Linked DNA regions of Ovis aries. The protein of the gene in region 2 interacts with the protein of the main gene of each other region in a biochemical or structural test. Links are inferred from orthologs where the notes say so. Each region holds a gene or a part of one and is shown on either strand. Other genes may lie near its edges.

The links.
Region 1: the proteins of MYO5B (region 2) and RAB11FIP2 form a complex in vitro, tested with the Homo sapiens proteins (2 studies listed by BioGRID). The link is inferred for Ovis aries from reciprocal best matches to the Homo sapiens genes MYO5B and RAB11FIP2.

Annotation. Positions count from the first base shown.
Region 1 is NC_056075.1:37,836,665-37,840,935, reverse strand, and holds part of RAB11FIP2 (rab11 family-interacting protein 2), read left to right. Parts: intron 1-889; coding exon 890-1,332; intron 1,333-2,039; coding exon 2,040-2,505; intron 2,506-3,480; coding exon of another isoform or gene 3,481-3,505; exon of another isoform or gene 3,506-4,271. UniProt on the Homo sapiens protein: A Rab11 effector binding preferentially phosphatidylinositol 3,4,5-trisphosphate (PtdInsP3) and phosphatidic acid (PA) and acting in the regulation of the transport of vesicles from the endosomal recycling compartment (ERC) to the plasma membrane.
Region 2 is NC_056076.1:49,853,846-49,858,116, reverse strand, and holds part of MYO5B (unconventional myosin-Vb), read left to right. Parts: intron 1-727; coding exon 728-884; intron 885-1,961; coding exon 1,962-2,201; intron 2,202-4,271. UniProt on the Homo sapiens protein: May be involved in vesicular trafficking via its association with the CART complex. The CART complex is necessary for efficient transferrin receptor recycling but not for EGFR degradation.

The DNA.
Region 1 (4,271 bases), on a different chromosome or scaffold from region 2:
ACAAGATTTATTACCATTTGTCACTTCTTGCATTTTACTTATTTTGCATATTTTATTCAGGAAGAGGCTTTGACCCATTTTATATAAATCTAAATTACACTTTGGGCTTCCCCATTGGCTCAGCAGTAAAGAATCCACCTGCCATGTAGAAGCTGCAGGAAACACAGATTCGATCCCTGAGTGGGGAAGATCCTCTGGAGGAGGGCATGGCAAGCCACTCCAGTATTCTTGCCTGGAGAATTCCGTGGACAGAGGAGCCTGTCGGGCAACAGTCCATGGCGTGGCAGAGTCAGACACGACAGAAGTGACTTAGTGCACACGCACGCAATTTACATTGTAAGCAATTTTCATGATGAGCAAACTGTATGGAGTAGTCTCCCATGTTAACAAAATTCTTTTAATAGCTTTTACAGAACTATTTTGGCTCAGAGGCTGAATATTATTTTATTAAAATTTGATTGTTATTTATTATTTTATGGTGCTCAAAAATAGTATGTATTGATGAATTATTTCAGGGTCTCTACCTCAGTGTCTTAATGCTAAAAAATATTCTTCAGCCATGAGCCACATTTGGACTAGAAGGAAACATAATAGCTATTATTGGTAAGAAATTTTGATGTGTGATTTTCAAATCATGAAAGAAAAAGTTGTCTAAATAGCTTTGCAAAAAAGACTGGTTCCTTCTGCATGTGATACATGGCAGAGACCTCCCTGTTTTTTTAAATGAAGCCATGAATAAAACCAGAAACACTCTGGCGACAGTTTCTCCTTCAGTGCTTGGACTGCCTTGATGTAGAGTAACTTTACCTAAAAAGCAATTTGTGTACAACAGAGCTCGATAATCCTCTCTTCATTACATATTACAACCCAGTTTTTCCTTCTCTTTAAGGTGGTTTAGATTAGAATCCAAACAAGGAAAAAGAGCCAAAAACAGGGGTGAGATAAAGGTCAATATTCAATTTATGAGGAACAATATGACAGCAAGTATGTTTGACTTATCAATGAAGGACAAAACAAGATCTCCTTTTGCAAAATTAAAAGATAAGATGAAAGGTAGAAAAAATGATGGGACCTTTTCTGATACATCTTCTGCAATCATTCCAAGTTCTCACATGCCTGATGCCCATACTGAATTTTCAAGTAGTGAAATACAGATGAAATCTAAACCAAAAAAGCCTTTCCTTTTGGGTCCTCAGCGACTCTCTTCAGCACATTCAATGTCTGATTTAACTGGGGCCCACATATGCTCGGAGAAGCTGAAGTCTGGCACCGTTGCTCAAACGCATCTTCTTGGCCGCCAGATAGATTCCTTTGGAGCAGTTCCGGAAAGTGGTAAGTGATGTATGCGTTCTTTCTGGTTGATCCTGTGTGATCTGAACTACCTTCCTAATTTTTAAAGTTTGACTTCTAAAATTAGTAACAAATTGAGGTTTCTTGCTAGCATTTCCTAAATTAGTCATCAGATATTTATTGAGTACCTACTATACTGAAAATTGGTAAGTTTAAAGACAGAGCTGGTCTGAATTCAATACTGTATTTATAGAATTAGATGAGCCTTGGTCTCTTTTCATGGCCTGGTTTTTTTTTTTTTTTTTTTTTTTTAACTGTCATTTCTCCTGTCTCAGAAGCCTGAAACATAAATGAATATTCCATTTCATCAGAATTTTCCTAAAAAAGAATCTAATTGTTCAGAAGTAAGAAAGTAAACTTAATACTACTGATGAAAAAACAGTGAGAATTTCTATAGCACTATAATGCTGAGCAGAACCTTTAGTTTTGACATTATAATTTGTTTATGTGATTGTTTCATTCTGAGCTGAGTAAGTTACTAATAGTCCAGCAATATACTAATTGTTATTAGCCTACATACTGCTGTACCTTAGCATTTTAAGATTGTTTTCCTTGCTTATTTTAAAAGGTTAATATCTTTAAATAGCTAATTGCTCTCATTCTAAAACCAGTAGTATGCACACAGGATGTGTCAAATAGTGTGATATAATGTGTCACTGATTATGTACTAACTACAAAATTGTTTGCAGGAAGTCTCAAATCTCCACACAGAAGAACATTAAGCTTTGATACTTCTAAAATGAACCAGCCTGACAGCAGTGTGGATGAAGGTGAATCGTCTTTCGGAAGACAAAATGACCTATTTACAAATGTGACTGCTTCATTACCCCAAAAATTTGCAACACTGCCAAGGAAGAAAAATCCATTTGAAGAAAGCAGTGAATCATGGGACAGCAGCGTGAATTTATTTTCAAAATCAATTGAAGTAAGAAAAGAAAACAAGAGAGAAAAAAGGGAGAAAGTCAGCCTCTTTGAAAGAGTGACTGGAAAAAAAGACAGACGATCTGATAAACTTAACAACGGGGGAGCCGATAGCCCTTGTGACTTGAAATCACCTAATGCGTTTAGTGAACATCGGCAGGACTATTTTGATTATGAGTCAACTAATCCGTTTACAACAAAATTCAGGGCTTCAAATATTATGCCATCTTCAAGGTAAGCTTAAATGTGGGGAAGTTGTGCTATTCTGGAAAATATTCTACTTGAAAGTATCAAATACCCTTTTTAAATTCCTTTCACTTTATTTGAGAAAAATGCTAATCTTGTTTTCATAATTAATTTTGGAGCCAGGCGGTGTGTACATCTTTGGAACTGAACTTTTTATCTTAGAAGGATAAAAGATTCTTAATCCCCACCGCATTATATTTCTTTCTACTTAACGCTGGCCAGAAACTCTCAGAAACTTATGGAGAACACTACGTAGCTTTTGATGAGGTGTGGTGAGAGGGAATCACCAGTGGGTGCTAATTCAAGCCAGAAATCTTAAGTGATGAGTTGGGTTTCTAGATGTTATTTTTCATTGATTGGTTGTGAACCAGTAGCAGCCTATGGACTATTCTTTAAGAAATACTGGCTTAAGTTAAGTATTAATGGTTTTTGTGAAAACGTTAGTTGCTCAATCTTGTCTAACTGTTTGTGACCCCATGGACTTGAAGTCTGTTATGTTTCTGTATCCTTGGAAGCCCGTGGTTTCTTTGTAGGTGATGACTGTCCTTATTAAGGGCTTCCCAGGGGCAAGGGTGTGGTAAAGGATGCTCCTGCCAGTGCAGGAGACTGAAGAGATGTGGGTTCAGTCCCTGGGTCTGGAAGATACCCTGGAGGAGGGCGTGGCAGCCCACTCAGAGCTTTTTTGCCTGGAAAATTCTGTGAACAGCGGAGCCTGGCAGGCTACTGCCAGTAGGGTCATGAAGAGTTGAACATGACTGAAGCGACTTAGCATGCACATACATCCTTATTAAATGGCTATTTGGAGTAATGTTTATTGGAATCCAGTGAACCTTGGGGGTACTATAAATACATCACAGAGTATCTGTAATGATGACTTATAGAAATAATCTATCATGATAAGGTTTAGACTGTCAAAATCCTTGAGTTTTCAGTTATGTTAATAGTACTTTTCTAATTCCTTAGTACAGATTGGAACTGTATGGCCTAAGTAAGATGATGCATTTTGCAGAAGTGAATGGTGGAATAGCTGATTAAGGAAACCTCAAGCAAAAAATAAGGTGGATCTATTGGAATCTTGTGCAGCTATCATGGAGGAGCATGGTAGACTGTTTGCCGTAAACCATAGTCGTTCCTGAGGCAAGAACATGTGGTGGTCAGACTCCAGTGAGAAACCTCAGTGGCTCTGTGACCTCTCTCAACTTCCACATCTCTGTCTTTGAAATAAGGAAAATGAGACGTTCTCAGTAGGATTGGGGGACGATAAATGATAAAGTACGTGGCATAAAGCCGGGCCCCAAATAGGGAACCCATAAACAGTGGTTGCTGTTACGTTTTATATAGTGCCGTGTCATATTTTGTTCAAGAATGTTGCTTTGTTTTGTCCCACTATAAACAGAAAATAGTGCTAATAATCGCCCTTTTAGGCTTGTGATCTCCTGCCTGTCTTCTGATCTCTTAAAACATGCATTTAGAGTTTTCCAGGGAAAGTTAGTATTTCTTTCGTCTTCTTTTATCAAAATAAATGGGTATTCACTGTAGCTTTGGAAAGTATTGTTCAGTTTTCTTTATCGACTATACTTCAAAGAAATATGTTTTTATCATATGGTATTAATATTTTATTGAGAAGTCCGTGGTTTTGATACGCTGTTCTCAAACATTTCAGTTTTTTATTTTGCATGCTGTACTTCCCATATTGCGTTAGAAACTACAGAGGTAGATAGAAATGCAGTTGCTTTTTTCTCCCTCAGCTGAAC
Region 2 (4,271 bases):
AGACTCATTTAAGCAAGCAGAGCAGGGCTGAGTGAGTTACTTCCCACTCCAGAGTTGCGCTAGATTATGTCCAAGGTCCTTTCTAGCTTTTAATATTCTTAGTCTCGTTGAGCACTTGCTATGAGTCTGACACCAAACAGAGCCCTTGCAGGGGGTAAAAAGTGTTGGACTGACTTTATGTCTGCCTTGAGGGGTGAGATGGGGAATGTAGAAATGGAACAGAGGAAAGTAGATGCCCATGTTCAGTGCATCCCCGGCAGAAATGCTGGGAGGTGAGAAAGTAAAGAGGGATTGCCACAGGCCTGAGAAGGTGGTGTTCATTCAGCAGATTCTTCCCATGTGCTGCTGTGCCAGGCCCTATACTAGGTGTAGAGGTACAAGGATGCTAATACCCAGCCCCTGACCCCTCCGAACCTGGTGAGGTCCAGGGACAGACCCATGAGAGCATGTGATGTCCTTGAGGGCTGCCCAGGTTATAGGAGAGGCTTGTGGGTCAGGGAGTAGACGGATGAGGATCAGAGTTGATCAGACTTAGACTGAGTTGTAAATATGTGGCAAGAGTTTTTGGACGAGGTGGAGGAAGCCAGTTCTGTTCTGAGCTGTGTCTCAAGGCCTTGCTACGGTCGGTAACAGTGACACAAATTGGCCTAGCCGGCAGGTGACCACACAGGGCCGAGGGGGAAGGGGTTTGTGTTCACGAAGGGCCCACCTCTCTCTCCCTCCCCAGACTGGCCAAGCATCTGCGGAGGACCCGGGCGGCCGTGGTGCTCCAGAAGCAGTACCGCATGCAGAGGGCCCGCCGGGCCTACCAGAGGGTCCGCAGGGCCGCCCTTGTCATCCAGGCCTTCGCTCGGGGCATGTTTGTACGGAGAATCTACCACCAGGTGCGTAGCCGCCCCCAGGGTCTCGGGCTGCAGACTCGGCCCTGAGCAGCAGCAGACGGCTTGGCACCAACCTCAGCACTTGTTGGGCACGTCTCACTTTTTTCTACGGAATTTCACAACTCTGCTCCCACCGAATCCTGACCAAAGTCTCATGAGGCACAGTGACTTAGGGTTCACCAGAGAGACAGAAGGCATAGGAGATGTGTATGTCTGTGCGCATAAGGTTTATTATGACGAACTGACACATGTAGGTATGATGGCTGAGCAGTTCTCAGTGTACCATGTACACACTGGAGACTCGAGAAACCCAGGGGAGTGACTCTGCCCAAGTCTGCAGGCCTGAGGACCAGGCAGTCATGGTACAGTCCCAGTCCAAGGGCAAGATGGCTCAAATGGTAAGGAGTCTGCCTGCGATACAGGAGACCTGGGTTCGATCCCTGACTCAGGAAGATCCCCTGGAGAAGGGAATGGCAACCCACTCTAGTATTGTTGCCTAGAGAATCCCATGGACAGAGGAGCCTGGCATGCTACAGTCCATGGGGTCACAAAGAGTCAGGCACAACTGAGCAACTAATACTTTCGTTCATTCCGCAAACGTTTATTTTGTAGGGCATTACAGTGAGGACATTGATGATGCTTTAATTTTCTGAGTGGTTTTTTAACTGTATAGGAAAAAAGAAAAACCAAATTACAAGCCAAGTTAACTGTAAACCATTAACCCACTCGACAGTCCCACACAACCGTCTCACTTCGCCTCCAGCTTACTGTCACCAGGAGAGGGTCCACATCTGTTGAATGGGGGGCTATCAGCTGGATAATCTTTAAGCCCCTCTGACTTTGAGGGGTCTTTTAGACTGTGGTTTCCTAGTGAGTTAAAAAAAAAAAGAAATGAGAGTTTGACAGCTGCCACCAGACTTAGTTGCAATTTGTTCATAAGACAGATGGCCACCAAAGCCTCAAGTCATAGGGCAGCTGTAGCTCACCAACCTTGGCTCTCGCCTCTCCGGAGCTGTGCGCGAGCCCCTTGCTCTCACTGTGCAGCGCAGACCCACCAGGTGTGTGCTTGTCCCCCGCTAGGTCCTCAGGGAGCACAAGGCCACCGTCATCCAGAAGCACGTGCGGGGCTGGATGGCTCGCAGGCGCTTCCAGCGGCTGCGGGGCGCGGCCATTGTCATCCAGTGTGGCTTCCGGAGGCTCAAGGCCAAGCAGGCGCTGAAGGCCCTCAGGATCGAAGCACGCTCGGCGGAGCACCTGAAACGCCTCAACGTGGGCATGGAGAACAAGATCGTCCAGCTGCAGCGGAAGATCGACGACCAGGTCAGTGTCTCCACTCCCACCTGGGGGCTGGGGCCGGGGCGAGACTCCATGGGCACGTTTGAGAGAGACCCACAGCTTCCCCAGGGGAGCTCTCAACTGATTCCCACGCAGCTTCACGAGGCCATTCTATGGGTAAGCGAACTGTGGATCTGGAGCATCAAATACTTGGCCAAGGTCACAGAATTAGGAAGTGCTAGAACCAGCACTCCCGGAGAAGGCGATGGCACCCCACTCCAGTACTCTTGCCTGGAAAATCCCATGGGCAGAGGAGCCTGGTAGGTTGCAGTCCATGGGGTCGCAACGAATCGGACACGACTGAGCGACTTCACTTTCACTTTTCACTTTCATGCATTGGAGAAGGAAGTGGCAACCCACTCCAGTGTTCTTGCCTGGAGAATCCCAGGGATGAGGGAGCCTGGTAGGCTGCCGTCTATGGGGTCGCACAGAGTCGGACACGACTGAAGTGACTTAGCAGTAGCAGCAGAACCAGCACTCCAGCCCAGGTCTGCCTGGTCCCACAGCCATAACGAGGGTGATGTTGGTTTCTTAACCCCAAATGTCACTAGAGAGTCAGTCCTTTCCTGTGTCATGGCTAAAATGGGTTTCTAGAGTTGAAAGCAGGCTCATTGGTACCTTGGGCTTGTAGGGTACTACTGACCTCAGTACCAGGCTCCTGGAATGCCTAGAGGGTTTCTGGCGCCTTCTGAGAAAGAAAAGGCGAGGATGGAGGCAAGAAAGGGGGTGAACATGCCTGGTGCAAGGGATGGAGAAAGAGAGAGTTGGCGTTGCCTTGGTGGTCACTGGTCTTATTGTACCTAGTCTACACTAGGCACTTTTTAAAGCTTCTCGTGATCCCAGTAGGGCAAGAAAATAAATGAGCCATTTTACACCTAAACCAGCTGCCCTAAACAGGAGTCCCCAAAGTAGTCAAATGTTACTGTCTCTCTGTTCTTGCAAAAAAAGACCAACCTTCTGGAGAAGGAATTGTCACCCTGGGTGTTTGTCTCTGTGTGAGTCCCATGGGTGTCTCATTTGGCTCGGCTCCCTGGTGGAGAAGTGAGACAGAAAGCTCACACAGGGTTGGCCCACAGTGATAGATCAGGTCAGGGAGGAAGACGCAACTGCTCAGAGCATCAGGAGTAAACAGGAAAAATGGTTTTCTGGGCTCAGCCATGTGGAAAACACAGGTGCAAGGCGGAACTGTATTATTGCTCTCGTTGCCATCATTCTTATTACTTTATGGCTATTGACGACTGGCCGGGAAAGACATTCGCATAGTCAAATTGCCCCCATTAACTTTCTGAGCAAACAGTGTGGTCAGAGGAAGGAGCAGGCTTTGCAAGCACCATTGTGCCGTGCCCAGAGCCCCATGTACTGGTCGCCTCTTCCAGCCATTGGTCCCTGTGTTGTCATTGCTGATTTCCGAAGTTGACTCGAGATGTTAAAAATAAATCTAGTATTTTACACTCCACATACTGGGATGTCAGATTTAAAAGACCTGTTTTTAAAAAGAGCTTTTTGCCTTAAGCTTCCTACTTGGCCAACATCTATGAGCAGTGGCCAGTGTTACGCTCCTTGGGCAGGGTGCCCTGTGTGCAGAGGGTGAGGAGAGAAGGCAGGGAGGGGTAGTTAGGTCTTGTTTTCTTATGTCCCTCCCCCTGTTGCTCAACTGTGTGCCAGGCACTCTCCTCACCTGTTAAGTCATTTAATCCTCACCACACCCTGTAAGATTTAACATTATTCCCATTTTAATCTGAGGCACAGAGAGGCCAAGTAGCCTATGAGGTCGCAAAGCTAGGAAGTGGCATGGTTAAGACTGAAACTTGGCAATTTGGTTCCAGAGAATGTTCTGCCACCTCCAACCACATGTGGGGATATCTGCATATTAGGAGATTCTTCAGACATGTGAGAATTCCTCAGTCTAAGAAAGACTCTTGGCTTTGTTTTGAGTTCATTCTTGTAGATAGGGTCATCCTTGGACCAGCCAGTATTTTGTAGTGGAGTGTGTGACCTGGCGTCAAAAAAAAATGCGAGGCTGTCTGTCTTGAGAGGAGTCATAAACAGCCTGTG